Caenorhabditis elegans: one gene and its partners. The protein of the gene in region 3 purifies or fractionates together with the protein of the main gene of each other region. This does not show direct contact. Each region holds a gene or a part of one and is shown on either strand. Other genes may lie near its edges. The genes, in order: Y71H2AM.20, ran-4, acbp-3 and exc-4.

What was found.
Region 1: the proteins of acbp-3 (region 3) and Y71H2AM.20 fractionate together in Caenorhabditis elegans (co-fractionation; one large-scale study listed by BioGRID). This does not show direct contact.
Region 2: the proteins of acbp-3 (region 3) and ran-4 fractionate together in Caenorhabditis elegans (co-fractionation; one large-scale study listed by BioGRID). This does not show direct contact.
Region 4: the proteins of acbp-3 (region 3) and exc-4 fractionate together in Caenorhabditis elegans (co-fractionation; one large-scale study listed by BioGRID). This does not show direct contact.

What each region holds. Positions count from the first base shown.
Region 1 is NC_003281.10:2,780,791-2,788,902, reverse strand, and holds Y71H2AM.20 (Serine/threonine-protein phosphatase 2A activator), read left to right. Parts: upstream 1-2,954; 5' UTR 2,955-2,958; coding exon 2,959-3,036; intron 3,037-3,086; coding exon 3,087-3,212; intron 3,213-3,278; coding exon 3,279-3,368; intron 3,369-3,413; coding exon 3,414-3,756; intron 3,757-4,603; coding exon 4,604-4,968; coding exon of another isoform or gene 4,969-4,989; intron 4,990-5,951; coding exon 5,952-6,077; 3' UTR 6,078-6,131; downstream 6,132-8,112. Other genes in the region: tbcc-1 (C-CAP/cofactor C-like domain-containing protein), read right to left, coding at 72-196, 254-458; nduc-2 (NADH dehydrogenase [ubiquinone] 1 subunit C2), read right to left, coding at 940-1,013, 1,696-2,041; cox-6B (Cytochrome oxidase c subunit VIb), read right to left, coding at 2,224-2,412, 2,476-2,595, 2,643-2,699; Y71H2AM.6 (DNA/pantothenate metabolism flavoprotein C-terminal domain-containing protein), read right to left, coding at 6,132-6,374, 7,138-7,570, 7,618-7,706, 7,754-7,822.
Region 2 is NC_003279.8:8,587,686-8,593,646, forward strand, and holds ran-4 (putative nuclear transport factor 2), read left to right. Parts: upstream 1-3,529; 5' UTR 3,530-3,531; coding exon 3,532-3,628; intron 3,629-3,669; coding exon 3,670-3,761; intron 3,762-3,804; coding exon 3,805-3,903; intron 3,904-3,948; coding exon 3,949-4,062; 3' UTR 4,063-4,293; downstream 4,294-5,961. Other genes in the region: tmem-208 (Transmembrane protein 208), read left to right, coding at 4,407-4,499, 4,550-4,667, 4,722-4,834, 4,931-5,116; R05D11.9 (Sphingomyelin phosphodiesterase 4), read left to right, coding at 5,344-5,472, 5,523-5,723, 5,772-5,961. UniProt on the Caenorhabditis elegans protein: Facilitates protein transport into the nucleus. Could be part of a multicomponent system of cytosolic factors that assemble at the pore complex during nuclear import.
Region 3 is NC_003284.9:10,900,352-10,907,050, reverse strand, and holds acbp-3 (Acyl-CoA-binding protein homolog 3), read right to left. Parts: upstream 3,780-6,699; 5' UTR 3,771-3,779; coding exon 3,710-3,770; intron 3,627-3,709; coding exon 3,506-3,626; intron 2,318-3,505; coding exon 2,224-2,317; intron 2,140-2,223; coding exon 2,065-2,139; 3' UTR 1,963-2,064; downstream 1-1,962. Other genes in the region: F47B10.8 (MARVEL domain-containing protein), read left to right, coding at 535-668, 873-966, 1,088-1,197, 1,252-1,331, 1,383-1,459, 1,510-1,664. UniProt on the Caenorhabditis elegans protein: Binds medium- and long-chain acyl-CoA esters with very high affinity and may function as an intracellular carrier of acyl-CoA esters.
Region 4 is NC_003279.8:14,511,539-14,522,101, forward strand, and holds the start of exc-4 (Chloride intracellular channel exc-4), read right to left. Parts: upstream 7,182-10,563; 5' UTR 7,178-7,181; coding exon 6,797-7,177; intron 5,080-6,796; coding exon 4,945-5,079; intron 3,649-4,944; coding exon 3,421-3,648; intron 1,254-3,420; coding exon 1,125-1,253; 3' UTR 1-1,124. UniProt on the Caenorhabditis elegans protein: May insert into membranes and form chloride ion channels. Involved in the formation of the excretory canal. Required to prevent cystic lumenal expansions in the excretory cell.

The DNA of each region.
Region 1 (8,112 bases), on a different chromosome or scaffold from region 3:
AATATTGCTATTTAATATTTTCATATTAGATTTGAGTTGCCTGAGAAAATCAGTGAAAAAAACCACCGAACTGAAAACGAAAAACCCTTGAATTTGGGTCCAGAATTCAGCGCGAGCTTCTGTTTTCGAACGTCTTCAAGGAAATTTTGAATTGTTTTAGTTTGCCGGTTACTCGTCGAGAACGCCAGAAATTCTTCTGAAAAATTGAAGAAAATTATCGATTTTGTTTGTTTGAGGCGGGGAAATTTCTTACGAAGCCGGTCGATTTTCTGCGAATCGACGGATTTTTTCGCTTCCAAATCCGATTTAATTTCCGCCATTAAATTATCGATTTGTGCTCCTTCAGATTTCGATAAACATTCTTCAGTTTGCACTTTTCGTTCTTCATTTCTTTGTTCCAGTTTTGCAATTAATCGATCTTTTCGATCCAATAAAATTTGTTCCGAAGATGCTTCCATTATGCTGAAATCTGGCGTTTTTTTGCGCGATTTTTGTGGCAAAAAACTGGTCTCGCCACGACAATTTTGAGTTTTTTTTTAAATTTTTGATCGATTTTTCATAGTTTTTTTTTCAGATTTTATAGAAATTTATGTGTTTTTATTCTAGTTTCGTTAAAAAAATATGCAAAAATTCTCATAAAATGTGAGAAAAACTATAAAAAATCAATAAAAACCACCGGAACAAAAGTTTAAAACTACAGTACTTTTTAAAGGCGCATCCCTCTTCGCATTTAACACAAATTGTCGCGTCGAGACCCAGGATATAGTATAGTATTTTTGCCCCAAAATTGCTTCTGGGTTAATTAGTTATATTCAAAACGGCTCAAAAGACCAGATGGATGCTGAAAAATGAAAAAAATGAGAATTTTCCGGGAAAAAAATCAATAATTCTTCATTTAATTTACAATAATGAACTAAAAAGAGACTTCGAGAGAATTGTTCAGTCGTATCTGGTGTACTGGGTTCTGCGTGGATACCATGGAAGAAGAACTTGAGAGAATGAACGTCCACTGCCTGAAAAATAAATAGATTCCATGAATTTTTGATGATTTTCTTGCATTTTTCACTAGAAAATCTTCCGTTTTCCCAGAAATTTTGAATTTTTTAGCCAGAATTCCCTTTTTTTCGCACTAATTTCCAAAATAATTACTTAGAATTGCGAAAAAAAAACTGAATTCTAGTCCAAAATTCAAGTTTTCTGTGATGTGTCGATTTACGCAGCTCGTGTACTCCTCGAGGAGAAGATTAAGCTGAAATGCGCCATTTTCACTATTTTTTTTCTGAATTTAACATAAAAATCGGTGATTTATAGTATTTTACATGAACAATGACGAATTTACTGTTAAAAAATACGAAAAAACCGATAATTTGTAGTTTTCCATGGTGTTTTAGGCTAAAATCGGTTTTTCACGCCAATTTTTGCTATTTTTAAGATAAAAATCATTGATTTGGGTGTTTGAATGCAAAAATTGGTCCGAAATCGAGCATTTTAGCCAAATCTTCTCCTTTTCAGCGTTTTTTTTTCGGGGAAAATGTATATATTTTCTGCATTTATCACAGAAAATCGCGAAAAATACGGTATTCTCTGGGGGGAAAAAGCCGAAATCTTTCAAATTTGATCGAATTCAGCCGGGTTTTTTTTTCGAAATTGCAGTAAAATCTGAAAATCGATTTTTCAGCAAATTCCAAAACTCACGATCATTAAAATGGTCGAAATCCTCTGGATGAAGCTTCATGTAGTGCTCGATGACTGCGTCTCTCGTCTGATAGTGTCTCTCTCGAAGTGCTCCGGCAGCGTATCCGGCGGCGGTGGCGGCTCCGATGAGCAAAAGCCGTGGAACAATTGCGTAGTAGTACGGCTTCTTGTTCCATCGATTTTGCAAATAAACCGAAGCCAGCGAGATTCCGAGCATTGCACTGGCACCCTTCAATGGGTAGCTCCATGTGAATGGATCGGCCAGGTGACGAGCTCTGTGTCCTGCGCGAATAAAGGTCTCGCGGCGCTCGATTTCCTTCTCGCTGACGCGAGTTGAGTCAGCCATGGTTTCCACTGAGAAAATTATTTATTTGGGGGAAATATGATTTTTAAAAAAAATGAGATATTTCAAGCGTCTCATAACGCCATAAGAAATAAAAGTGTTTAAAATATTTTACAAGTGACACTTTTTATCGAATATCAGCACTAATAAAACGCCTGTTCTCGAATACAATCGAACAATCTCATTTAGCGATCGAATTTAGCTGGGAAACGTCCCTCGGAAAGAAGCTCGTCCCATCTCTCGGTCCAGAATCCGGGGCAGAAGTCCTTGTAGACATTTTGGAAGAACTTGCACGGCTTGTAGTCCTGTCCCATGAGCTCATTGCAACGATGGAAATCGACGTAGTAGGCGAAGCATTGACGTTGCTTACGGACCTGAAAACTTGTACATTTTTATTATTAATTAATATATAATAAATTTTAAATAAAGTTACCAACCTGTGGGAATCTGGCGTCGTATGGAGCAGCCCAGAGAAGATCCTTCTTCACAGACTCGTGGGTCTCCTTCTTGTACCAGTCTGGCGAGTCTGGATGACGGAGAGCATCGGAGAACTTCTCCTGTAAATTTTTATCGATAAAAATGAAGAAAAACGCTAAAAATTCACCTTGTATTGCTGGAGTCTCTCGTAAGTGGTTGGGGGAACCTCAACTTCGACAGGCATTACTGAAATTGAATATAATTGAAATTTAAACACGGGCGGTTATTTTCAAAGCTCAGAAATCCGTGAAAACCGAATTAAACAATATTTAAAATCAATAAAAATTTTTCACTAAAGACGCTGCGCGAGCCACACACTCCTATACACCTCTCACGCACAAAACGCTCCACAATGGGGTTTTGCGTTGGAGCGCACTTGCTGCATTATTTTTTTACATAACAAAGTTCTAGAAATCAAAACAAATAGATTTTTTTCCAGAAAAATGGCTGAAAACTCGTATAAACCGCCGGAAAAGATGATTAAAAATGTGTTCGACCTGAATCCGTGGTACTTTTCCAAGGTAGAACAGAAATTTTATCGATTTGAAGGATTATGAATGGAAATTTGCAGGCTTACGAGGAGTACCTGGCTTTCTTGCATCGTTTGAATGATTCTGTAGTTGGAGTTCATACAACTGCAGACATGAGATGCACAGACTTGGTTATCAGCTTTATCGACATGCTGGATAAGCTGGAGGTTCGAGAAATTACGGAAAATTACGAAAAACCAGATTTAAAAAAATAAAAAATGGATTTTTTTCAGAAATGGGCTGAGGAAATTCCTCTGGAAGATGTTTCCGAGCAAAGATTTGGCAATAAAGCTTACAGAAAGTTTTATGAGAAGCTTTGCAAGGTTTTTAGCTCAAAAATGTATTTAAAAAGATTTTAAAAATTCCAGGAATCCCCAGATCTCCTAGCCAGCGTTCTTCCGGAAAACGTCCACGATGCTCTAGTCGAACTGGTTCCATATTTCACAGAATCCTTCGGAAACGCCACTCGAATCGATTACGGCTCGGGACACGAGGCGAATTTCCTAATTTTGCTGTTTTGCCTGCAAAAGTTGGGCGTTTTCACAGAAAATGATGACAAAGTGCTCGTTCTTCGCATTTTTAACAAGTATTTGAGAGTGTGCCGTCATCTGCAGACCAGATTCAAGATGGAGCCGGCTGGAAGTCGTGGAGTTCATGCGATTGACGATTTTCAGTTCGCGCCGTTCATTTTTGGAAGCGCTCAGCTTATTGGTAATATGTTGGAGCAACTAGAAGTCTTGAAATTCAGGAAAATAGCTGAATTTTCCATTAAAAACTCAAAAATTCTCAAGAAACCACAATTATTAAGTCGTTTTCCGAAGAAAAACCGACTTATTTTCACAGATTGTCGGAAAATTCTATCTAAAATGTCTTTTTTCACAGTATTTGTTCAAAAAACGTTCATTTTTCAAGGATTTTTCATTCGAAATCATGCATTTTTCCGTTTTTTCGTTGAAAATCATCAAATTTCACGATTTTTGTCGAAAAATCACAAATTTTTGCGATTTTTTTTAAATAAAAAATCAACAATTTTCCCGATTTTTCATTAAAAAATCATCACATTTTTGCGATTTTTGCCAAAAAATCATAAATTTTGGCAATTTTCCTTTAAAAATCATAAGTTTTCACAATTTTTCATTGAAAAATCCTCAATTTCTCCGTTAAAAATCATCAATTTTCGCGATTTTCCTATTAAAAATCCGGGAAAAATCGTTTAAAATCTTCAATCTACAACATTTCCTCGTAGGAAAACTTCAAAAAAAGCTAGTTTTCACTAAATTTCCTGTGAAACTTAAAAAAGGCACCGAAAATGACAAAAAAAAATTTTTCTACAATTTTTCTAGAAAACCCCGCTTAAAAGCATATTTCTGTGAAAATTTCAGAAAAAAAATTATAAAATTTTACTAGAAAATCACCTAAAAATCTAGTTTTCTACCAATAAATTACAAAAAAAAAAACTTTTGAATTTCCAAAGCTTATATAGGCCTGAAATATGTTGAAAAATGCCAAAAAATAGCCAAAAATCCGCTCCAAAATCTTAAATTGTTTCGATTTTCAGGTTCAAAAAGTATCGTGCCGGACAGTTACCTAAAAAAGAATATTGTTGAGACTCACGCCCACACAAGTCTTTTCCTGGACTGCGTAAACTTTATCAATCAAACAAAAACCGGCCCTTTCCACGAACATTCAAATCAACTTTGGAATATCTCAGCAGTTCCACACTGGAAAAAAGTCAATAGTGGAATGTTTAAAATGTATGAAGGAGAAGTTTTAAAGAAGTTTCCAGTTGTTCAGCACATGATGTTCGGCTCTTTATTCTCATTTGATCGATCGGAGCATCCAAGAGAATCTATGGAAGATGCTCCGTCACAGGATCCGATGCCTCCAAGAGCTCCGGCTCAGCATGGAATGTTCGCTTTTAAGGTTAATTCGGAGAAGAAAATGGTAAAAATATCGACAATTATAGAGATTTTAAAGCGAAATTTTCAATTTTTCACTGGAAAAATTGATTTTTTTGAAAAATAAATGGAAAAAATCGAGAAGAAGTGGTGATTTTTTTGGCAGAAAAACCAATTTTCACTGAAAACGCACTAAACCGCTGAATTTTCACCTTCAAACAGAAAATTCTTTTAAAACTGATTTTTGTCAGAAAAAAACGTTTTGTATGGAAAATTACGATTTTTTGCTGGAAGAATTGAGAAATGACCAAATTTTTCAACAAAAGCTATTATAATCGCCTTAAATTTCGAGTTTTCCCGTAGAAAACTTACAAAAAGTGTATATTAAAAGTGTATATAAACCAATGAAACCCAAGATTTTTGTTTCTTTTTCTAAAAATTAGTAGAAAAATTAGGAAAAAAAATCAATTTGTTATGACCCTTTTTCTGAAAATTTGCGTTAATTCTGAAAAAACCACTTTTTTTACAAAAATTTTTTATGGTCGGTCAAAATATCGAAGAAAAAAAAGCCAAATTTTGCTAAAATCTGAAATTTCGCACACTTTTCTTTGTCACAGCCGCTGGATTTTAATTTTTCTGAAATTATCAACCTTTAATCCTTATTTTGGTGATTTATCTCGCGGAAATTCGTTGATCGAGACAACTTTTAGGCCGATAGGCACCCAAAAATGATCAAAATGAGATAAATCACCAAAATAAGGATTAAAGGGTGATAATTTCAGAAAAATTAAAATCCAGCGGCTGTGACAAAGAAAAGTGTGCGAAATTTCAGATTTTAGCAAAATTTGGCTTTTTTTTCTTCGATATTTTGACCGACCATAAAAAATTTTTGTAAAAAAAGTGGTTTTTTCAGAATTAACGCAAATTTTCAGAAAGAGGGTGATAAAAAATTGATTTTTCCATCATTTTTCTCACAAACTCCCCCTGAAAAATCAAATATTATTTCAGATCCCATCCGCCGCCAACACTTCAACCGTCCATTCGTCATCTGTCGTCGAATCTGGAGACTTGCGACGTCTTCACAGTGAGAAACATCCCAACGAGCACTGCCCACCACCAATGGCCGATGCATGATCTCTACTATATTAAAATATTTATTCATTTTCCGTGAAAATCATGACTGTATATCTACATTTGTGCATCAATAAATTGTCTGTGTAAAGCGCTAACACGATCGATTATAAACGATTCGATCTCCAGCTCGGGGGCTCCCGGAGCAAGATTAATCTCCTCTCCTTGCTCAATATTCTTTCTGACGAGAGTTACACGTTGCTTGCGAGTTGATAGCATATTCGCGATGACGAGTTGATGGCCGTACTTGGAGAGAGCAGCTTTTGCCTTTGGAATCAGCTTTGTTTCGTCCGTTTCTAGCTGGAAATTTACGAATTAAATTGAAATTTAGCGGGGGGAAATGGGCATTTTCAACTAATTTTTTGATTAAAAATTGAGAAAAAGCACGAAAAATACAGTAGAAATTGAATTTATGTACTTTTTCTTCCAAAAAAAAAGAGAAAAAACCGTGAAAAAAAAGTACATTGGACATTGAAATATATTGAAATATAGTTTTTTTTTCTAAAATTGAAAAAAAAAACCGATTTTTTTAAAACACCTTTTGCCATTTTTCAATAATTTTTTAGTTAAAAATTGAAAAAAAAATCATATTAAATTACAGTAACCCTTTAAAGGCGCAGGCCTTCTTTTAAAAAGTTTCTGCGGTCGTGCCGATACCCGCCAAAGGAATTTTTGCATTTTTTCCTGGGGTTTTCGTTTTATTTTTCATTTTCACTTCAAATTTCAAAAATACTGTTAAATTTCAACCAATTTCTTGCGGTTTCTTTAGGTTTTCGTCCTTTTTAAACAATTTTTTGCTAAAAAGTGGAAAAAAAAGCTACAGTAACCCTTTAAAGGCGCACACCTTTTTTCAAAAAGTGTCTGTGGTCGTGCCAAGACCCGTCAATATAATTTTTGCATTTTTTCGGGATTTTTTTCGATTAAAAGTGGCAAAAATATCCAATTCCAAGTGGTTTACGGGAGAGAAAACCAAAATTTTCGATAAAATCGCATTTTTTGGACATTTTTGCACAAAAAAATCGGTGAAAATAGCAAATTTCGATCAAAAATCGCAAGAACAAACTTTAAACGAGACGATAAACGCATTCGGGATGAAGCAGGTGACAACTTTTTGAATAACTTTCGGAGCAACGCTGAGCTCCAGGCTCAGCTCGGTGTTGCTGGCGATTTTGTGAGTTGGCAGCTCGGTGACGACAAAATCTGAAACCGCAGCGGCCAAATAAGCCATTGCACGGGATCCCAGAGGATTTAGATGAATGCAAATTTGCTCGAGACGTGACATATACTGATCGAAGGTCTTGAACGGAATGTACAGAATTTTCTCCTCGTACTTGAACTTGTCCCGCAGAATTTGCGCGAGATTCGGCAGATCACACACAACATTCTCCCCATCTAGCTTCAGCGAATTGAAAATATTCGGAAAATGCCTGGAGAACGGCTTCAGGGACTCCTCGCGGTGCATGAAGATCACCGCGTAGCCGGCTCGCAGGAAATATCTGCAGAAAATTCAATTCTTTTTTCGTTGATTTTCATTTTAAATTACTCTGCACTCGCTGCTCCACGAGTTCCCATCGAAAAATTGTCGATAAAGCGGACAGTGTTCTTTTCCAGCGGCACTTGAGTTCCTCCGCTCTGAATTCTGTTTTATTTCAGTATTTCAGGAAAAAAAAGAGAATTACCGTGATAAAAACAATTGGAATATTCTGCTGCTTTTTCAGAAAGCTTTCAATCTCGTCATCAGAGGACATTTTCGATTTAAAATTGTTTTTTTTTAATTTATAAAATAAAATTCAAAATTGATTTCGAGTGGGTACGGTAGACAAAAGTGTGCAAACACCGCCACGCAAAACCACACCAACAGAGTTTTTCACTTTTATTTTCAACATTTTTCGCGAGATTTTACATTTTTCGATGCTCAAATCGCATAATTTTCGAATTTTCAGCGGATTTTTATTGTAAAAATTCAATTAATTACTCAGAAATACACTGGTGAAGGATTCTTCGATTTGACCCATGTAGCGGGGGTTTTAAACTCGAT
Region 2 (5,961 bases), on a different chromosome or scaffold from region 3:
AAATTCAAAAAAAATTTGAATCAGAAAACAGAATTATATCCAAAATGATAATAGAACCTTCTGGTAAGTCATAAGAGTCAGGTGAGCTACTCAAATGGGCGGAGTTTCAATATCTACATAGAAAGGCGAAATGAAAGAATTATGAAATTCAAGAACTCGGAATGAAAACTGGTATGAACGTGTAAAAAATGATAAGAAACAACAGTTTGTGATAAGATTTTTGTGTTGATCAGAATCGTCATCACCTATAAAATCAAGGAAAAATAGAGAGAGAAATGAAGAAAAATGAGAGGAAGTTTTCATTTGATTTATTCAACTTTTAAATGGATTCGAAGTTTTTTCGATATCAGGAACGCGGTTCCAAAATGATCGAAAATCTAGATATTTACCTGAATCTTGATTTTGTTTTATACAGAATTTTTCTGAACTCAATGAAGCCGATGACTCCTAATTAATTTATTCAAGTTTCGTTCATTTAGATATGACAAGGCATCACGAAGATCTCAAGACTCACCCGGCTTCTGATACGTGACCTAGAAATAGTTATAACTCGGCCAGCAATTTATCAAAAGCAAAAAAGTTGGGAGGAAAGTATAATTTCATCTTTTGAAATCGTTTCTCTTAAATTTTAGCAAATGTCCATTTTTAGAATTTCTTTGACTATTTTGAGTTTTTATTTTAAAAAAAAGTCCATTAATAGAAACTAACATAAGTACTACTAAGAAGGCGTCATATTGTTATTTTTGTTTCAGATGGATGTACGTCACTACTTTTTATTGAGGTGCTCTCATGAGGAACCAGAATAAATAAACTATTTTATAACACACTGTACCATTTCCAATTGTTTAAGAAATTAAAAAAATAGAATAGAACTCACAGAAAATCAGTTTTTTTCTGAATCTGGCGGCGAAAAAAGCCAAGATATGGACGGAACCTAATTTTGGGGTGTTCTCTAAGCAAATTTTGAACATTGATTTCGAATACTGAATGTTAGAAGAACGCCAAATTGACGGCGAATAGATTAGGAAAAAAAGGTTTTCAAAACAGTAATAATGTATTTATAAATTCTATAGAAGTATGACATTCTGAGAATATTATAGAAAAAGAGATTTCGTATTATTATTATTATCAAATCATTCTGTGAATCTTCGTATCATATGACTTACTATTAAACAACCAAAATGAGCTGAACCTAAAGCCTTGAAGACCACGAAGTGACCACAGATTAAATACTGGAGGAAGAAACAAAACAAGTAAATAATCATAACAATTTATCTATAAAATCCTTTCAAAAGTTGAAGTAAACAACATCCTTTGAGATATCATGATTAAAAAGAATGAATAATGTTTCTAAATTTGTATAATCCTCTTCCTCTTTTATATTATTTTTATGATTTCTTCTGACTTTGAAGAGAAACAAAATCGGATTCAGATAAATTTCGAAAATTCTTGATTAACTCGGATTAAATGTCTCCTGACAATTGCACAACGAGCAAAACAGATGAAGGGTAGAAGAAGAAAGAGAATTCGTAAGTAAAGAGAATCGAGAAGAGAATAGAAACTGACATAAAAAGTTAGAAGGTTTTATGATTAACATATATCGCATGTTTCTTCGTGTATCGAGAACAGTTTTTTCTCTCTTTCAAATGGAATTTTGAGAGCGAGAAAATTGGCAAATATTATTATTTTTCGTACATGTGAATAGTTAAGAGCTCTCTCCTATAAGAGTATATTTAACTCGACAGGAGGGGTTACTGTACCCATGTACATATTTCTGCGTTGCGTGGCCGCGAATGTGAAAAAACTCGGCCACATTCATGAAAATTTTAATTAAAGGTTTAAATTAAATCACTCATATGGTCAAATTGGCGAACATCATAGTTAACATTTTCAAAATTTGCTATACGTTTTCGTATTCAGTGACAATTACGTTGCTTTTTCTACAAGTTTTATATTTGAACTACGTTCCAATAATTTGTATTTGAACGTTGTATGAACCTGCAAGATGCTCGGAATTACTAAAAATAAAATCTTTAGAAAATCTGGCAGTTTTCCAAAATGTGACTGAGATTTTTGAAAAAAGCTCACATATTCTTCTAAGGCGATTTCACAACTTTTACAGGCTAAAATGTTTTATCTTGGATGGGATTTTCCTTTTGAGAAAGATGTAATTAATACTGTCAAAAATCAAGACCAAAAACTTTAAAAAAATTTTGATTCTCGAACTATTACACAAGCTGGGTAAATCGACACATAGTTAGAGGTTCACATAAATTTTCTTCCATTTTTAGAAAAAAATTTGGGAGTTTTAAAGCTTGCTCAAATTCAGTCAGCAAAATGGTATACAATTTAGTTTTAAAATGTTTGGCTTACTTATTTTCCTTTCAATTACAAAAATCTACATTTGAAAACTAACTGAGTATATGTATCGCTCATAGAATTTTGATAATCATGTGAGAAGCAGTATGTAATGAGTTCGGAATTGCTTGCATTAATTTTGTCAATGAACTGTTACCAAGGTAACCATAAATGTGACTGGATGAGTTTGATGTAATGAGCTCTCGAAAATTGATATCATTTCAGTTCTGGATGATGTGAAAATATAATAGTAACGGTTCTTTATTTTCAGAAAACGTTGGCTTCAAAAGACTGGTCAGGTGCCGAAAAGGGAAGAGTGAAAGAACATACATATATGGTGTTCGCTAAGGCATGAGGATGCGCAGAGATGGAAAATTATTTCAAGTTTCTATAAATTACAGAAAATTGATTTTTGAAATGCCAACATTACGGAGTAAGAATAAAGTTTAACTTCTTATTCAATTGGTAGAATGGAAAGAAATAAAAAATGGAGCAACAACAAAAGAGGAACATAATTTCAGTGGTTTTGTCGTTATTTTGTTGCTTTTCCAGCTCTGTTTTCCATTTTGGCGAGCTCAAAGAGACATAAAAACAGAGCCAACCAACTCTTTTTTCTCTGCGCCTCTTCAACAAAAAGAGTGACGACAAGGCGATTTCTCTGCTCATAACGTGTTCTCTCTCGTTTACACACTCTCTCGCTTTCTGTGCAGTAATCGCGCTCCGCTGGATTATGCTACAAAATGTGCGCGCGATGCTGGCACCTTGCCATTTTATTCTGATTTTCCAATTTATTTAGGCATTTTTATTTTTTTTAATCGGTTTTCTCTTGTGAGGAATCAAATAATTCATAATTATTTTTAATTAAACTTCCCAAGAACGAACAAAACGCAGGAAGACAATACTGTTCTTTCGAAAACTGAAACATGAGGCCGAGGGTTTAAACTTTAAAAACTAAAAAAAAACAATTTGGTTGCTGTTTATTTTTCTCAATGCGAGCAAGACCACTGCTCATCTAACAACTAATTTTCAAAATTTATTGAGACAACCCATCTCGAGTAAATATATAATTCAATTGTTTCGAAAATTATCGTATTCTTCGTTGCTTTTTCCTACCTATCTTATTTATTTTTACTCTTTTTCAATTATTTTTCCCAATTTGTCGTTTTTAAAGGAATGAGCTTCAATCCTGATTACGAAAGTGTTGCAAAGGCCTTCATTCAACATTACTACTCAAAGTTCGATGTTGGCGATGGAATGAGTCGTGCTCAAGGTATTTCGTCTGAAAAAAACAATAAACTTAGTGAATTTCAGGACTCTCCGATTTGTACGACCCAGAAAACTCTTACATGACTTTTGAAGGACAGCAAGCGAAAGGCCGTGACGGAATTCTCCAAAAGTTCACGGTTTGTGCAAAAGTACGAGAGTTCAATAACGAAACACTTTTAGACTCTCGGATTCACAAAAATTCAACGAGCGATCACTGTGATTGACTCTCAGCCTCTGTATGATGGATCAATTCAAGTGATGGTTCTTGGTCAGCTCAAGGTAAGTAGAAGTAGTTTTCAAAAAAACCGAAAAAAAATTATTCAGACCGACGAAGATCCAATCAATCCCTTCTCGCAAGTCTTTATTCTCCGTCCAAACAATCAGGGTTCCTACTTCATCGGAAACGAGATCTTCCGACTTGACTTGCACAACAATTAGATATCAATTCGTCCACTTTCCTATCAAAATGTGTCCCCGTATTGAACAATTTTTCAAGAACTGAATTTTCACCAAATTGCTTAAATATCTATTTCAACCCGGCTTTTTCCATGTTTCTAAATCGGTTTCTTTCCCCACACAGTTTCGTGTCGTTTTACTATTTCGCACAATTTCAAACTTCTAGTTTGCAAATCGGTTCAAACTAAAGAATGAAGTTTTTATCATTTTCTTTCCGAGATATCGAGAAAATTTTGTTTAATTCGTTATTATTAGTGGTTTTTCAACCTTTACAATACCTTTGACTTTTTCAGCAATGACCTCAAAAATATAAAAATTAAATACAGATGGTGAAACAAGCAACAAAAGGGCAGAAAGAGATCTATGAGGAGAATCAGAAGACTGTCACCACTTATAGTGTGGCTAGCACGATTAGCATGGTAAACATTTGTAATTTCACATTTCAACGATTTTTTAAAAATTGTTTTAGGCAATCTACTATTCATCGTGTATGTTTCTGAGCCAGTGCTCTTCCACCGATTATGTATTTTTTGCTGTCTCAGCGCTCGTGCAGATCTTTGCTATTCTTTTCATGAAATCTTTAGCTAGTAAGTTTGTCTTACCCATTAATTTTTTGTATTAATCTGAAATTATGATTTTAGAAGCAAAGCTTGACGATAAAGGACATGTTTTGGATGCTGGTGCCGATTTGAACGATCCAGAAGCATTCGGAGAATACTGTAAAGACGCCATTATTCTGACAGTCATTATTCAAGTTAGTTTTTGCAAAAAAAAAGTGTGGGAAAGTGCGCATTAATAGTTCAAAAATGAAATATTCTATCTTCAAATGTATAATTTACTCTGTTCCCAGATCATCTCACTCTATTCTACATACGGATTCCTTTTGCTCCTCGCCTTTCCTGGAGCAGCCACATACAAATTTGTTGCTGGATTCCTTCTACCATGGTTGACCGCTGGATCAGACTCAGATGAAATGGATGACAAGAAACAGAAGAAATTGGACAGAAGAAGAGAAAAAGTCGTGTACAGACGTTAAATTATAACTTCTAGAAAACAATGTTCCCTAAGTCACTTCAAATTTTAAATTATAATCGTATTTATTTATTGCATACTTGTAATGTTTATCTATTCAAATATTTTTTTTTAATACACATTTTTTCCAAAAATTTTAATGTTTTTATTCATGGTTATTTTTCCCGATCGCTCTTATTTTAGTATTCTCAAAAACTTAAAATGTTGTCGATTCTATATATAATTTCAGAGATGTTCCAGCAGCGGCAGACACCAACAGAATTTTCACAGATGGACGATGTAGTTTCAATTTGTAGGGAGATCAGTTCGAATATCATTTCCACAGACAAGAATGTTCCTATTTCAAAAATGATTATTCATGTACTTATAAGTTATTTCAAAATTAAAATTATCAATATGGAGCATTTCAGAAAATCTTCAAGAATCCCCACATCGATTTGTGCTCCATCCTCCCACCTCTAATACAACAACATTATCCAGATTCTCCTTATTGTCACATCCAATCACTGATAAACTCAAATTCAGTTTTCTTCGAAACCGTCCTGGAGGATGATCAGCTTTGTACTGAACTTTGGGACAGTATTCTACATCAATGCGAAGTGTCAACTGCGGTATATTGTTTTACATAATTTTGATTCTGAATCCTTTTGAATTTTCAGCCAACTGAGCCTGCAAAAGATTCAATTCTGTTCTCAGCAGTTTCTCAATATGTCACAAGAATTCTTCCATGCGATGAGACGGCACCTTCTTCGATGTCAGTCCCAAGATCTCCAAAAATCACCCATCAAACTATTCGGACGCCACTTCAGCTCTTTCGTGCCGATTCGCCCCTTGTTAATCGAGTTAGCA
Region 3 (6,699 bases):
AAAAATCAAAATTTGGATAAAAAGTCTGTCTGCGTAAAATTGAAAATCTGCTGATACTAGAATATTCAAGGTTGCCGATAACTCAAAAACGATCGTTTTTATCACGCTATTCTAGAATAAATAATTCTGTGCACGGAGTTGTTGAAGCTTCTACAAAATTTTCTTCATTTTTTGATTTATTTTCTGCCATCCTGTGTCTGATGAATTTTGAGCCGTATTCAGTTGTTTTGGAATCAGATAACCCTGACTGTCCAATTATCAAGATTCCGCATTGTAAGTCGATTTTCTTTACTACACTTCTATTTTAAAAACATAAAAAAATGCTCAGTTCTTTTTTACATTTATCCTCTCAAAGTTAGTAAAAAGTGGTCAAGATTCAATTTCAACATTGTTTAGGACGCACACTTCTGTTATTGAATCTTTTCTTTCCAAGATGTTGTGCATTCACTTTTGGCACATTCTGAGCATTCATGAGCAAGGACCGAAATATTATCTACTATCGTGATCTCTACTATTACACTGTTATGTTTGCAGATGCAAACGGAAATGAAAACGGAAACGGAAACGGAATAATGAAAACGCCGCAACGGGAAACTGTCGTGAGCCTGGGTTTCACGGAAGATCCCATTCCTCCCAACAGTTATTGCTGCAATTCTTGTCATATTCAAGTAAGCTCGCATATAAAGTGTTCCCTTTTACTGGTTTCAGCAGATAGTCAGTTTTCAGATAAAGTAGAATAAGCGACTGCAAAAAAATGTGTGAATTTTTTTAAAAATTGTTGACTATAAATGTGATTTGAATAGTTTTTCTACGATGCAGATAATAAAAGAAAGTTGAAATATAATGTTTAAAAAACAACAACAACATTTCAGAAAGCGTGCCGAGCAGTTGCAGTATTTGCCTTTTTAGGATTTATCATAAACCTTGTTCTATATTTTATGGGCATCTCAAAACTCGGTCTAAACGGTAAGCACGTCACAATTTCTTGTTTATACCAACTATTTGCATACTTGTTTTGCTAAATTTATTCAAAATCCAATTTGTAATTCATTCATATAATTCTTTTCTCTATTTTTCTTTTTTGCAGGATATCTCGAAGCGTTCCTTCTTATATTCGACTGCATTTCTCTGCTGACTCTGTTTTGTGGTGTCTCAAAGCAACGTTCGGGATTGCTGAAGCCGTACTTGTTTTACAATGTATGTTTATTTTTTGCTTCGTTCTTTTTCATGAAACGTATAATTATGTTGCAGGTAATATGGAACTTTGGCATGATAATTTTGTTCCTGGTTTTTGTGTACCACATGTTGAAGGGAACTAGTGATGTATCGAGGTTTTGGGAACTAACAGACTCGGAACAAACTAAAAACAACTATATTTACAGGAACATCCTCGACAATCTTAAAGCTTTGCGATCAAATCCAGATGAGTATCACTTCCGATCAAGAGAAAGTGTTACCAGTGAGAACGATTATACTACTTGTGAATATTTATACTTCAAAATTTTTCAGCTGCAATCCTGGTCACACTGGGTGTGATGGCTGCCATGTCGTTTGTTATAGTCATAAATTGCATATTTTTGCATGTTGTCTACCGCACTTTTCAGTTTTTTGCATACCAGGAAGACAAGAAGAGAGAGGAAATGGATAAAAAGGAACGCTTATAACCTTTGCAATGTTTTATCTGAAATGTTTAACCTCGTGCTTTCTATTGAACTATCTCTTACACACAAACATTATGTTGATCTCTTATGTATTCCGAATTCATTTAATTTCCTTCTCGGGTGCTCGTCTGATTTTCATTTTTATTTTATATTGTGGATTTAAAATTTATTCACAGTTTCAACTCTACTGCAATAAAAATTATGTATACATACAATGTTCAAATTTCACTATTACAAATGCAATTCATAGTTTTCATTTTCATGCAAGATTCTTCCAATGTACAGTAAAACTATAGAGTTATTCAATTTACAAAATTAATTCATATTTATTTAGTATCAAGAAGCAATACAAATAATTATATTGTTCGAAATTTGAAAAAAAAATGTTTATGATAATTAAGATTTACTTTCCAATGAGAGCGAGGTTGGTTTTGATGACTGGGTCAATTTGTTCAAGCCAAGCGGCAACATCAAGTTCCTGAAAACAAAGTAATTCTGAACGTAACTACTAGTTTCTGCTACAAAAACTTCAAACGTTTGCCGACAAGACCCATTCACATACCTCGGCGATTTTGTCAAACATGTCGTTTAGAGCCTTGATATAACGCTCTTTAGCTTCATCTTGAGACACTCCTTCGAGCTCTTTCCATGAGTCCCTGGAAATCGGATTAACTGGGGTTGGTCAGGAAAATGCCAGTAAATACTGTGAGCCAGTTGGAATTAATTGTTATTTTTACATGGCTTCAACATCAATAGTCGCAACGTACCATTTTCAGACAAGTAGTTAAACTATTTTGAGTTATTGGAACTGACCCATCTAACTTTTTCAATTACTATTGTACATTTTATTAGAAATGTGTACTATTAAAAGTGCACTAAAAATCGGTGTTTGAAAAATTATACCAGCAGTCTGTTTAGAATTGCGATCTTAGCACTCCACACTTTTACAACTTTTTTTTTAGCGCCAGCCAATGAAATAAATAGAAAACATTACAAGATATACTACCTTTTTATGGATGTTTCAAAATCACGACTGTTATAATTAGATACGATCACTCGTTCTTTTGAAACTTTCTGATTTTAAATAATACTTGTATTTAAATTGCCTTTTTTGTATTATTGCCTTTTAGAATAAAACCTTCACTATCGCCAGCATTGAAATAATGTTCCACCAACACATATGTTTGATGGGTTCGTTCTTTTTATTCATGAACGAGTACTTGTGTAATATCAGTACACCAAAAAATCTTTTTAATTTTTTTCAAAAATACAATATGAGTTCTTTTTGAATTTTAGACTTAGGAAAAATCTAAACCTAAAAATGAATTGAGCATTAAAATGGTTATTTACGTTGTGGTCATTTTGGAATTTTATCCATTGCATACATTGTGGGATACAGTAACTACACAAGTACCCATGAACGGAATTATTTTTTGAATCCATGTTTCTACAAACGTGAAAACATTAATACAGGCTTCGTGTTATTTTTAAGGGGTATTTCAAACATAGTTTATGGTTTTGAAGAGACCAATGATCAGAAACGACACTCTACATTTCTTCAAAACTTTTTATTGATAATTTCACAATCATCCGTTCCTACTCGTTTTTTGTGGCACCATATTCGAAGAAAATGATAATTGCATCGTTTGCAGACACAACGCCGACATTTGTTGCATAGCGATAAGTTAATATATATTGCGGTCAAAAAATCAACACACATAACTCACGCAATTCTGATGCAGTTTAGCTAGCCACGCGGTCATGACTCATTTGTCAATGAAATAAGAAAAAAAGAATTCCCCTTTTTCGAATCAGACAAAGGAATAATGAAAAAAAAAACTGACCACTTCTTTCTCTCGATGATGGAGAAAATTCCTGGTCTATCGGTGTTCACATCTCCGATAGAAGCCTGTTTGAACAAAGAGTAAAAGGTAAGCTTCTGATCATTGCTGGTGGCAACTGGTCCTAGAAAAATTGTAAATTTAGCTTTGAATCAACTACATCATAGCATAGTTTGTAGCATTGTAGCGAATCAAAGTCCAACGTACCTGTTTTTGGAAGTTTCTGGATGATTTCCACAGCAGCGTCGAACTTTTCTTGAAGAGACATTTTCTGAAATAAGAAAGCGTTGAAATTTTTAGGTTAATGAATAGATTAAAAAGATTAAAAAGTTCGAAGCGGTTTTCAAATTGCAAATTGATTGACTTTTTCAAAGGCCTTGAAATAAACTACACCTATTTACTTAGTTATCAAACACGGTTTAAATCAAACAAGACATCAAAACGAGACTAGAATCCAAAAAGTACAAAACAGGGAGAACTGAACGTGAAGAAATCTGTGAGTAGTGCCGTTGGGCGCCGTCAGCCCGATCGGATTTACAAGGACAAACGGGCTGCTGCTGTTGACCTAAATCTTTTCCCTGGATATAAAGATGACCCATTCAGTATCGTGTCTTCCCGTGAACAAGACGTCATCTTTTTATCATTGGCGCTGGTCTTCGGGAAGGACAGTACAATTAATTGTCCGGAAAACTGCGGGTGAGAGATTACACTCATTTAAAGGATACCATTGGAGAATGGAATAGGATAATATCATTTTGAGAAAAAAATAGAATAAATTGAACTCAGGTATTTGACAATAGTAAAAACGTGTATTCTTATTGTTAGAATTTACTTCTAAATTGAAATTTATGTGGTTGCTGTACATCAAAAAATGTTCAAAAACCATATGAAATATTTCAAATCTTTTTAATATAAAATGTAAAAAAATTCTTTGTAGAAACTTCAATATACTTTCAAAATAAAATACACACGTACCAAAATGTATTTCACTTTTCTTGTAATATTCAGAGCATAACAAAAAGTGGGAAACAATCGAAAATAATAATAGAAAATAATCAAAGTTTACCATAAACTTCAAAAAAAAGTATAATATATTTATTTTATGAATTCACCGATTGTTGCCTTATTTTCTCTGTTGTTCGTATATTTTGCAAACTTTATGAAGACACCCAGTTTAAAAGAATTGAATGTTTTTTGAAATTTACGACTGTTTCCGATAAGTTACTCGTTTCAGACAGTTTAATTAAATCTTCAATTTTGCCAAATGCTTATTTGGATTACGTACTTATTAGTTTTTTTCTCGGATAAACAAGGAAAATACCTAGTTTGGAGTATAAATAATTTTTTAAACGTTAAATTTTTAGTAAATGTTTCGTAGATGAATTTTTGTCCCTCATAATGCTTGACGGTCGTCTTTTTTCAAGAATTACAAAAATCACATTAAAAGTTGAAAATAGGTTTTTAAAATATACAAAAAGATCATGACAAACACAATGATACAGACATCACATTAGATTTTTGACTATACAACGTGTTATCTGATAAGAACATGGAATTCAAGTTGCGTAGCTGCAGCAAACATTAGTGGCATGACGTTTTACTGGAAAGATAACCTTCCATGTTACTGCGACTAGTTTCAAATTTGGTGCTTAATGACCACGTGAGACTTTGTTGCGTGTTTTTATTTTGGTGGCTATGTTTTTCAAAAAATTTACCTGTCTGACAAATAGTAACAAACACATGGTAACTGATCAACCGTATTTATAAGATTTTAGAATTTTCAACAAAGTTAATTTTCTTTATAGAATAATTATTATAGTCACTGTTTTTACTGTGGTTGTATAATGTCGTTCTAAAATAAAAATAAAAAACTGTTCTGCTGAGTTCAGTAATAAAACTTTGTATTCATTTATACGTTTTCATGTTTTCGACGTTTTCATTTTTGTTTTCGTTTCCACGTTACGTTCCACGTTGTCACCTTTGTAGATGTAGAGATGATTTTGGTGCCTGCTCTGGCTGAAATTGAAGAGTGGTGTATTTTTGATCCATTACATTTCAAGAAAACATGTAAACTTTAAGAGACTTTAATCTATACATGTACATTGCCAGACAGTAATACTTTTTCAAAGATCAGTAAATACCCAATTGAATCAAACGAAGAAATATGACGTCTTTCTATCCACCCACTTATCCAATGCAAGACTCTGTCTATTCTCTCTCATTTTTTCTCACCCAGAGCGAAAAAATGCCTTTTGGTTTTCCAACTCTACGCTCATTTTCTTCTTCATACTCAACATCCTATCTGTTTGGCGGGAAGAGAGTCAAAGAAAAAAGGGAAATAGAGTTGTGTGTCTCACGTTGGAACGGCATGCAAGAAGGACACAACAACGCTGCACACTACACGCAGATGGGTCCTCTCTCTCTCGTCTTTCCCTCTGACAATTCCATTGATCCATCGTTGTCTGTCTCTATGTCCCGGGGAAACATAGAGAAGAAGAGAAAACCTTCTTGTTTCCTCGTTTACCCCTACTGATAATTTCATCCAACTCAACCTTTTTTCCTCTCGTTGGCCCCTCTTGTTTTGATGTGACATGGATGCACGGAGCTTGATTGCATCCAATTGTTATCAATATTACTTTAGTTTATTTTATATGTGATTATGGGAGTAGTTATTTTAAGAGGCCGAATTCCTTTTTTTATGTGAAATCTCGTGGGTTTCCCAATTTGAAATTAATGTTTTTGGCTAGTACGCTGTTCCAGTTTTTTGTTTAAATTAACATTTATTCCAACTGATCATGCATTTGAAAATACGAATATAAAACAAAATCTTTGATATTCCTGATCCCTCGGCAGTCTGAAATTTGAATTCCTATCTTTGTTTTTTTAGGAAAACCTTACAAGTAGCCTCTGATCGAATCCGCCATTTATTTATTATCAGTTCCCTTTCTGTTTGCACTTTTCCTGTCTTCACCTCCTCCGATACTTTGTACCTTATCTTTTCTGCGAACAATCTATTCTCCACTTTTTGCCCAACCACAACCACGTTGCTGGCCGACGATCTTTGAGAGACAGCGTATGTCCATCTTTCTGCCTCTACCGTTTCTAGACATATTTTAAAGCTTTTTGTTCAATTTTTGGTTTTCGACGGTTTTAAATCATTTCATATACCTTTTCTCAGATGTAGTAGATATTTTCTG
Region 4 (10,563 bases), on a different chromosome or scaffold from region 3:
CAAAATTGAGCAAATTGGGTATAATTTCAGTCAAAAAATAGAAAAAAAAAGATAAATATATAAATAACGGGAAAATATTATGCTTTTCAAAAAAATCGATCGTTGGTTCTTTTTGTGGAGGGGGAAGGCCGGAATGGAAATAAAATGAGATAGATGTGTGTGTGTGTGTGTGGGTGGGGAGAGAGAGAGAGAGAAGAGAAATAGAGAGTTAGACAGTTTTTTTCGCGGAAAAACATTTTTTTGCTCTTTAAATGACAGATTTTTCGGATTTTTTTTGTTGAAAAAAGTTGGAAAAATTGGAAATTTTGTGAAAAATTTTGGGAAATTCTGGAAATTTAATACATTTCACGTTTTTTTTTGCAAAAAAATTGGAAAATTTTCTGATTTTTCAGATAGAAACGTTGGAAATACTTTGATTATTCCAGTATTTTTGCAAAAAAAAAAATGAAATTTTCAGATATTGCCGGTATTTTTTGGAAAAATCTGGAAATTTTCTGATTTTTTCCGTTTTTTTCCCGAAAAAATTGGAAATTTTGTAATTTTTTTTCGGTTTTAACAGCGAAAATCTGCAAATTTTCTGTTTTATTTCAGAATTTTCAACGAAAATCTGAAATAATCGCTTTTTCTCGTATTTTTTGAAAAAAGTCGGTTTTTTAAAGCGAAAATCTGGATAATGTCTGATTTTTTGAAAAAAAAATCGGAAATTTCCGAATATTCCCGCACTTTTTTTGTTTTGAAAAAATGGAAATTTTCCCAATTTTCGAAGAATTATTTCAATATTTTTTGCGAAAATCTGGAAATTTTAGGCGTTTTTCTGAGAAAACTCGGTTTTTGAATTTTTTTTGCTGATTTTTATGTGAAAATGTGGGAAAAATATATAAAAAGAATAGCCAAAAAAATTGAACAAATTTGCCATTTTTTTAATAGATTTTCATCACATAAAAATCAGCTCCAATTTTTCCAAAATTTTTTGATTTTCTCTTTACAAGAAAAATTCAAAATTCCGGTTTTTTGTGTCAATTCGACGAAAAAATTACCAAAATATGCAATTTTTAGCCGAAATTTTTTTAAATTTTCGTTGAGAAATCTGTCACTTAAAGAGCAAATAGTAGAGGGAATTTAATTTAATGAACATTAACATCGGGAGCAAGTCCTTTAACACGAATATCCGATAGCACTTTTTCCGGAATTGTGTGCGTTTTTGTTGGCGATTGGAGGGTTTCACGTTGATTTGTGAACAGATTCATTTGTTCCTGCAAATTCAGAGAATTTTGGGGTTTAAAAATCACATAAATTGGGAAACGACTACAAACTAGAGTTTTGTTAGCCGCACCAAACTTTTGTTGATTTCGCTGTAAAATTGAAAAATTTACACCAAACATTTTTCAAAAAAATTAATTATCATAGAAGCAAGCGCTCTCCTCAAAGCCGAATAATTATTAGAGCGCGCTTGCAGACCAGGAAAATTAAAATTTTTCGATTTTCTCTTTAAAAAATACCAAATTTCGGCTTAAAAATTGCTAGAATCGTCAATTTTGCTTATTTATTTAGCCTGAAACGAGTTAAAAAAAATAGCACAATTTAAGGAATTTTCGAGGAAAATAGTACTTCTCACGATCTCCTCAAAGCCGATTAATTATTAGAGCGCGCTTGCAGCGCCTCGCGTTTCTGCATCCGGGGTATTTTGTCTTTCCACTGAAAAAATCAGTTTTTTTTTCAGATTTATCGAATTTTTAGCTTTTAAAAATTTTTTCCTGCATTTTTCGAACAAACCGTTTTGTTAAACAGTAAAAATCGAATTTAAAATGACTAAAAGGAACTTTTCTCGTCCACGGGTTGAGAAATGGTTTGAATTTGAAGAAATCAGCGGGATTTTTCGTATTTTCTGAATATTTTCCTATTAAAAATCGGTTGCAAACCATTTTTTGACCCTAACGTTAAGTCACAAATGTTGAATCCAATTTTTAATAGAAAAATATTTAGAAAATAAGAAAAATCCCGCTGATTTCTTCAAATTCAAACCATTTCACAACCAGTGGACGAAAAAAGTTCATTTTAGTCATTCTAAATTCGATTTTCACTGTTAAACAAAACGGTTTGTTCGAAAAATGCAGGAAAAAATTTTTAAAAGCTAAAAATTCGATAAATCTGAAAAAAAAGCTGCTTTTTTCAGTGGAAAGGCAAAATACCCCGGATGCAGAAACGCGAGGCGCTGCAAGCGCGCTCTAATAATTAATCGGCTTTGAGGAGATCGTGAGAAGTACTATTTTCCTCGAAAATTCCTTAAATCGTGCTATTTTTTTAAACTCGTTTCAGGCTAAATAAATAAGCAAAATTGACGATCCTAGCAATTTTTAAGCCGAAATTTGGTTTTTTTTTTGGTCAAAATCGAAAGTGGAAACACTAACAATTTCCAGATTTTCGCTAAAAATATTGAAATAATCAGAAATGTTCCAAATTTTGTTCGAAAAATGGAAGAATTTCCGGGAAAAATCGGGAAAAATTTTTTTTTCGATTTTTTTTTAGATTTTCAATGAAAAAATCGAAAATTCAAGTGCACTATTTCTCCAAAGCGTGAAAAAGTACTAGTTTACACAATTTTTGTCATTTTTCATATAAATTTGGCGTTTAAAACCTCAAAAATGGTGCATTTTTAGTCGCGCCTGTCTCGGTTTTCTCTCAAAAAACCCAACACTGGGGTCAAATTTGCTCAAAAAGTGCAATTTCTGTTGTTTCTATGAAATAAGGCGTGAGCTGTAATAAAAATATTGAATTCTGCATGTTTTGTTGGTTTTTTTAAACAAAAAAAAATTGTTCCTCGGCACCCCTGATTCTGGCTAACAAATCTGTAGTTTGTAGTGTCGAGTCTTCGTAGTTTGTAGCTTCATCCTCACTTTATAGTCATGAATAATGTCCTGATCGGCCGAAATTTGGATTTTTTTCAAGAGAAAATCGAAAATTTTGAATTGTTGCAAGCAAAAAAAAAAAAACATCCTTTTCTGGTCTTTTTGCTATTTCTAAAGACTTTTTCTACACTTTCACATAAAAATTAGCATATTTTTTGAGAAATCAATAGTTTTCTCGTTTTTTTAAAAAAGATTTTCAATGAAAAAGTCGAAATTATTCCCCAAAGCCACAATTTTTGTCATTTTTCATATAAATCAAACTGGAGATATATTATTTAAATAAATTGAATTTTTCCGAAATCTTCTGAACTAAAACCTTTTGGCCATTTTTTCTTTTTCAGAATAATAATTCGTATGTTTTTTCTTATTAAAATATAGACAAAATTAGAATAAAAATTGTATGTTTCATGGCTAATTCGAATTTTTTTTTGGTTGGTTTTTTCAACAAAAAACATTGTTCCTCGGCACCCCTGATTCCGGCTAACAAATCTGTAGTTTGCAGCTTCATCCTCACTTTATAGTGATGAATAATGTCCTGATCGGCGGGACAACTCTCAATAAATGCTGCTGTACGGTATGCAGTGAGGATATAAGCCCAGAGATGAGTGAAATTATGTGGAATATCGAATCCAAGAAGTGACAATCCAATAATTCGAATATGATGAAGACGTGGCATCAGTTCACAGTCATATTCAGTCATACTGTTTCCAAGTAGATATCGAGATTTTCTCTCGGATAGCAACTGCAATAAAATGGGGGCAATTTTTGATGGAATTATGTTGACAAGATGCGATAAACAATATTTATCACAAAAAATTGGGGAAATTGGGAAATTGGGCAAAGTGCCGGTTTGCCAAATTTCCGGCAAATTTGGCAAACTTCCAGAATTGAAATTCTCAGAAAATAGGTACTTTACCGGCGAATCATCGGAAATTTGCATTGCCTAAAATTAAAATTTACGGCAAAATGGAAAATTTGTCGGAATTGAAATTTCCGGCAAATCGGCAATTTGCCGGAATACTAAATTTTTGGCAAAATGCCAGAATAGAAATTTCCAGCAAATCGGGATTTTGCCGGAAAATTGGGGAAAATGTGCAATTACCGGTTTGCTAGAAATTTCCGGCAACTTTGGCAAACCGGCAATTGCGCATATATTTTTCTGAAACTTTTTATGAATTTCAATTTCAAACGGAAAACGCATCCTATGAAGTGTTTCAGTATTATCAAAAATCTTTTTATAAAATTCCGGCAAATTGATATCCGGCAAGCAAATCGGCAGTTTGCCGGATTTTAAAATTTCCGATAGGTTGGCAATTTGCCGGAATAATAAATTTTCGGCAGTTTGCCAGAATTGAGATTTTCCGTTTTGCCGATTTGTTGGAAATTTTCTGTATCGTCAAAGTGTCGATTTGCCGGAAAATTGCCATTTTCCCGTAAATTAAAATTTCCAGAAAATAGGTACTTACCCAAAATTAAAATTTACGGCAAATCGGCAGTTTGCCGGAATTGAAAATTTCCGGCAAATTGGCACTTTGCCGGAATACTAAATTTTCGGCAATTTGCCAGAATTGAAATTTCCGGTAAATCAGTAATTTGCCGGAATTGATCATTTTCGGCAATTTACCAGAATTGAAAATTTCCGGCAAATTGGCACTTTGCCGGAATTGAAATTTTTTGTTTTGCCGATTTACCGTAATTTTTTATTTTCGGCAAAGTACCTATTTGCCGAAAATTAAAATTTCCAGAAAATAGGTACCTCACCGAAAATTGAAATTTACGGCAAAATGACAATTTGCCGGAATTCAAAATTTCCGTTTTGCCGATTTGCCGGAAATTTTCATTCTCGGCAAATAGGTAGCTTTCCTAAACTTAAAATTTCCCGGCAAAATGGCAATTTGCAGAAACTTAACATTTCCCGGCAATCGGAAACTTGCCGGACATTTTCAATTCCGGCAAAGTGCCGATTTGCCGGAAAATTTGCCGAAAATTAAAATTTTCGGCAAATGGGCAATTTCGCAGATTTCTGTGTGTATTTTACCTGATCAATATTGGATAGTTGCTCACAGACTCGATTGTAGTGAACTTTAATCTGTGCTGGAAGATCTTCAACTCTCGATGGCTCCTTTTTTCCCTTATCGAACTCTACTTTTGCTCGCAGGAACAGTTTGAAGTTCTGAAAAATGAGAGGAAATTAGACGGGGGAAAACGTCAAATTTAACTTTGTCGATTTACGCGCGTCGTGAAAAATGGATTTTTTCGAAGTTTTACCAGAAAAATTGGAATTATTTGAAGTTTTTCCGGAAAAATTAATTTTTTTTGAAGTTTTTCCGGGAAAATTGGATTTTTTTTGAAGTTTTTCCGGAAAAATTGGGAAATGTTTCTTTTTTTTTTTTAGGAAAAAACAGAATTTTCCATACTGTTAAGACAAAATTGGACCAATTTCTAAATTTTTTCATCGAAAAAAGGACATTTTTGAGATATCAAGCTGTGTGAAGCCTCGTGTACTCCCCGAGGAGAAGATTTTACGGATTTTGCTGAAAATCAATATTTTAAATCAATTTATTGCAGTTTTCATATTTTCTATGAAATTTGGTATTTTTAATCAGAAAATCGATAACTTAATGACAAAATGTTGCATTTCAGTGAGAAAACCAGAAATTTCTGAAAAAATGCAGTTTTTGGCGGAAAAGTGATTATTTTTCGGTAAAAATTCGGTATTTTCAAAAGAAAATCGAGAATTTTACGAAAATTGACGATTTTCGTGGGGAAACCCTGTTGAAAATTGATGAATTAAATATTTTTCGCGGAAATTTTCAGAGTTTTCGTTAAAAACTTGTATTTTTCGCTTTTTCTAACAAAAATTTTCAATTTTCCCGGGGAAATGATGTATTTTTGTTTCACTGAAAACACTATAAATCAGCAAAAACTGCAAAATGTTCTCCTCGTGGAGTACAAGGCATTTTTTCGCAAAAAATCCATTTTTTGATTTAAATTTTTATAGAAATGTAGAAAATGGGTTGTTCTAGTTGAAAATAACATATATTTTTGTTGAAAATCTTGAAAAAGTCATCAAAACCTTTTAACGGCACTTTTTCGGCTTTTCAAGATTTTCAACAAAGATAAATGTTATTTTCAAATAGAACAACCCGTTTTCTACATTTCTATATCAATTTTAGATTAAAAATTTATTTTTTTGCCGAAAAAGTGCCGCACAGCCCTGAAAACTGGATAATCTTTTCCACGAGGAATACACGATCCGCGTAAATCAACACATTAGGCGTTCGATTTACGCGGATCGTGTACTCCTCGTGGAAAATAAAATTCGTTCTTAATCTAAAATTGATATAGAAATATAGAAAACGGGTTGTTCTATTTGAAAATAACATTTACTTTTGTTGAAAATCTTGAAAAAGACCTCAAATAGTGCCTGAAAGTTGCCGTTTGCCGGAAAAGTGCCGTTAAAAGTTTTTAGATTAAAAAAACTGGGTTGTTTCAAAATGAAAATCACCTTTAATCGGCACTTTTTCCGGCAAACGGAACAAAAATTAATGTTATTTTCATGTGTATGTGATTAAAGGGATTTTCATTTTGAAAGAACCCAGTTTTTTTAATCTAAAAACTTTTAACGGCACTTTTCCGGCAAACGGCAACTTTCAGGCACTATTTGAGGTCTTTTTCAAGATTTTCAACAAAAGTAAATGTTATTTTCAAATAGAACAACCCGTTTTCTATATTTCTATATCAATTTTAGACTAAAAATTCATTTTTTTGACGAAAAAGTGAAAAAAAAGTGCCCCACAACCCTGAAAACTACAGAATCTTTTCCACGAGGAGTACACGATCCGCGTAAATCGACAGTTTCCGGGCTTCTTCTTCTTCCATACACTCACCCTGTACAAGTTCTCTATTCTCTTCTCAGCGGATGGATCCTTTTCAAAGAGTGGAACATTGAATTCCTTTGCCAAATGAAAGATCCGTCCTTCAATCTCTCGATTATCAGTGTATGTCAGCTCTTTTTCCTCTTCAATCATAATCGGTGGTTGTGCTCCGAGAAAGTTCTTCTTAAATGCTTCAGAATTCACGTTGACAGTCTTCACTTCGACTCGTGCAACTCCAATCTCATAAAGAGCATACAACTCCATCCAGAATTCCTGACAGAAAAGATCGGCTCCAATGCGGCGAGCATCAATTCCTGACGCTTTTACGTAGAGCTCGAGAAGAGGTTTTGATTGGGGATCTCCGTTTGATTGGATCTGGTAAGCTTCTGCCATATCTGGAATTAGCGGTGGTTGTTGGAGAGGAAAATTTGGTGAGATAACACAATAAATCCGGAAGAAACAGAAGAAAATTAGTGTATATTTTAAATATATATATATATATATACCACGGCTGGTATATATATATATATATACCAGCCGTGGACCGCACCTTCGGCGCGGCCCCCGACTTCTGGGGCTGAAAATTAATTTTTTATGAAACTACCGTAACCCTACAGTATTCCTACCGTACCACTATTGTACCACTACAGTACCCCGACTATATCCCTACACTAACCCTAACTCACTATCCCTCCAGAAGCCAAAACTTCACAGACTACAAAGACCACATAGACTACAAACTATGGACACACAGAATAAGCGCTTTATATATAGTAAATGATATATATATATATCGAATAAATGGAGAATTTTTAAATTTAGTGAGAAAATATTTACGACAATTGGTGTAAATACTGGAAATTTTAGGTAACAACATCCGTTTTTTACGAATATTTGTTAATTTTCCAATGAATGTTCAAAATTTAGATTTAATAGCTAGTTTTGGGAGTTTTCCACACCTTTTTTTGGATTTCAGCATCAGATTTTAGCATGTTTCTGGAAATTTGTTTCTGGGAATTTCTCAATGAAATTGAAGAAATTTTTTGTTTTGTTACTAGAAAATATTATACAAAGCAAGTTCGAGATAGCTTGAAAACTTTAGTTTCCAGGGGAAATTCTATTACGAGAACAGAAAATTCTGAGAATGCGTACATCGCAACATATTTGACGCGCAAAATATCTCGTAGCGAAACCTACAGTAACCCTTCAAATGACTACTGTAGCTCTGTGTGTGTGGATTTACGGGACTGACTTTCGAGACAATGATATTCAATTTTCTGTAGCTTTTTTTACTGTGTTATTTTTAAAGTGTGCTTTTAATACGCTATCAATTAATAAACGATTTCCGTAAATCGACACAAGCGCTACAGTAGTCATTTTAAGAATTACTGTAGTTTTCGCTACGAGATATTTTGCGCGTCAAATATGTTGCGATGTACGCATTCTCAGAATTTCTTGTTCCCGTAATAAAAAATGAGCCATTGTGGAATTTACTTTCAATATTTCTTACTAAAAATATATTTTAATTTCAGGTTTAAGGTTTTAGTAACAAAAATTGTAATTGTAATTGCAATGGAATGGGGGGTTTTTCAGTAATTCGCAACTTTTAGACGAGATTTGAACACTTTGAACTAAAATACAAGGTACGAGGTATTTTAGTTCTAAAGTGTGCAAAAAACTAGCTGAAAGTTGCAAATTGCGGGAAATCTCCCGATTTTCAGACAAGATGTCCTCCTAAAGCCTTTCAATTGGAATTAAAGCTATATTGAATTAGAAAACCTCATTTTCTATATTCCGTGACAAATATTTTTGGTAAAGAATATTAGAATCACGTGGAGTCACAGAAAGTCTCATTTTGCTTTGATCTTCGAAAAATGCGGGAGAAGAGACGCAGACATCTAATCTGATTTCGCATGGTTAAGTGCGTGCTGACGTCACAATTTTCTGGAAAAATATTCCCGCATTTTTCATAGATCAAACCGCAATGAGACAGTCTGACACCACGTGTAAAAGATTTAAATTGCTTCGCAAAATTTTTTAAAGTAAAATTAAGTTTTTCGGTTAGATTCTGCGATTTCTATATTTCGTGATTAGATTTTAATGAAACAACATGCCAAAATGGCTCTTTTAAAAATTATGTCGATTTACGGCTTAAGTACACATTTTTCTGATAAAAAATGCCAAAAAAATCGAAAAAAAATTATGAAATCGTCCAGAAAGTCAGCAGGTACATGGTCTCGCAACTTGTTAATTGACGAGACACCCCCCGAACGGATCGAACAGAGAGTGTAGAGACCCCAGAGAAAACCGTCCCCCAAATAAATGTCCAATTTGGAAATCCCGCAGTGTGTAGAAGTAGAAGAAGAAGAAGAGAAAGATACAAATACATCTACACTAGACACTAACATATAATACATACATACATACAATCATAAAAATTGTGGAGACGTCGGTCGGTCGGTCGGCGGGTGCTGCTGTTGGTGGTGTAATCGGAAACGAATCACACAGAAACGGTTTATGCGATGCGATTTATTCATAAAATATATATATGTGAATAGTATGCGAGATTCCGAAAACTAGATGCCGTCAGGTGAAGAGTGGCATTTCTGGAATTTCTATTGACGTGGTGAAATTGATCGATATACGTCATTTTTCAGGCAAAAACCCAGAAATCAGTTGAGAAAAGTCTGCGTCTGAATTCCCGCATTTTTTGTAGATCAAAACGTGTACACTCGAAATAATAAAACTGCGTGGCGTGTACTGCAGAAAACCTCATAATTAGCCCCCGCCTTTTTATCGTCCACTCACGGGGAAAAGACAAAATTCGGGGACCAACCAATATCAGGCCGCCGACATCTCATGGGTTCCGCGCGCCGCTATGTTTAACTCGTTGTGGGTGTGGCAAGCTGCCTCCGCCCGCTGCGAGTTAAACATAGCGGCGCGCGGAACCCATGAGATGTCGGCGGCCTGATATTGGTTGGTCCCCGAATTTTGCCTTTTCCCCGTGAGTGGACGACAAAAAGGCGGGGCCTAATTATGAGGTTTTCTGCAGTACACGCCACTCAGTTTTATTATTTTGAGTGTATGCCTCATGTTCCGAGCCGGTTTTAAGTGAGAAATCGATGGTTTTCCCCGAATTTCCAGCTTTCAAAGGAGGACTAACGGTTCGGACGATTTTGAACGTTTAGTCCCAAAATGGGCTCAATTGAACGAATTTCGTGATTAAGCTTCTCAAAAAAATCTTCAAAAATTTTTTATGACGGTTCAAAATTTCCGAAAAAAAATTAAACTAATTTTAGCTAAAATCTTGAATTTTGGCCACTTTTCACGTGTCACATCCATTCGAAGTTTAATTTTTTGGAGTTATCACCCTTTATCGCATATATTGGTAGTTTATCTCATTTAATTTCGTCGATTAAGGCACATTTAAAGCCGATAGGTTGGTTACCTATCGGTCTTAAATGTACCTTAATCGATGAAATTGAATGAGATCTCATGTGAGATAAACTACCAATATATGCTATAAAGGATGATAATTCCAAAAAAAGTCAACTTCGCGCAGATGTGACAGAGAAAAGTGGCCGAAATTCGAGATTTTAGCTAAAATCAGTGTAGTTTTTTCGAAATTTTAAACCGCCATAAAAAATTTGAAAAAATTTAAACATTTTTGAGAAGTTCATTACAAAAATCGTTCATTTCAGCCCATTTTAGGTATATACGTTCAAAATTGTCCGAACCGTTATTCCTCCTTTAAAAGCTGAAAATTCGAGGAAAACCAT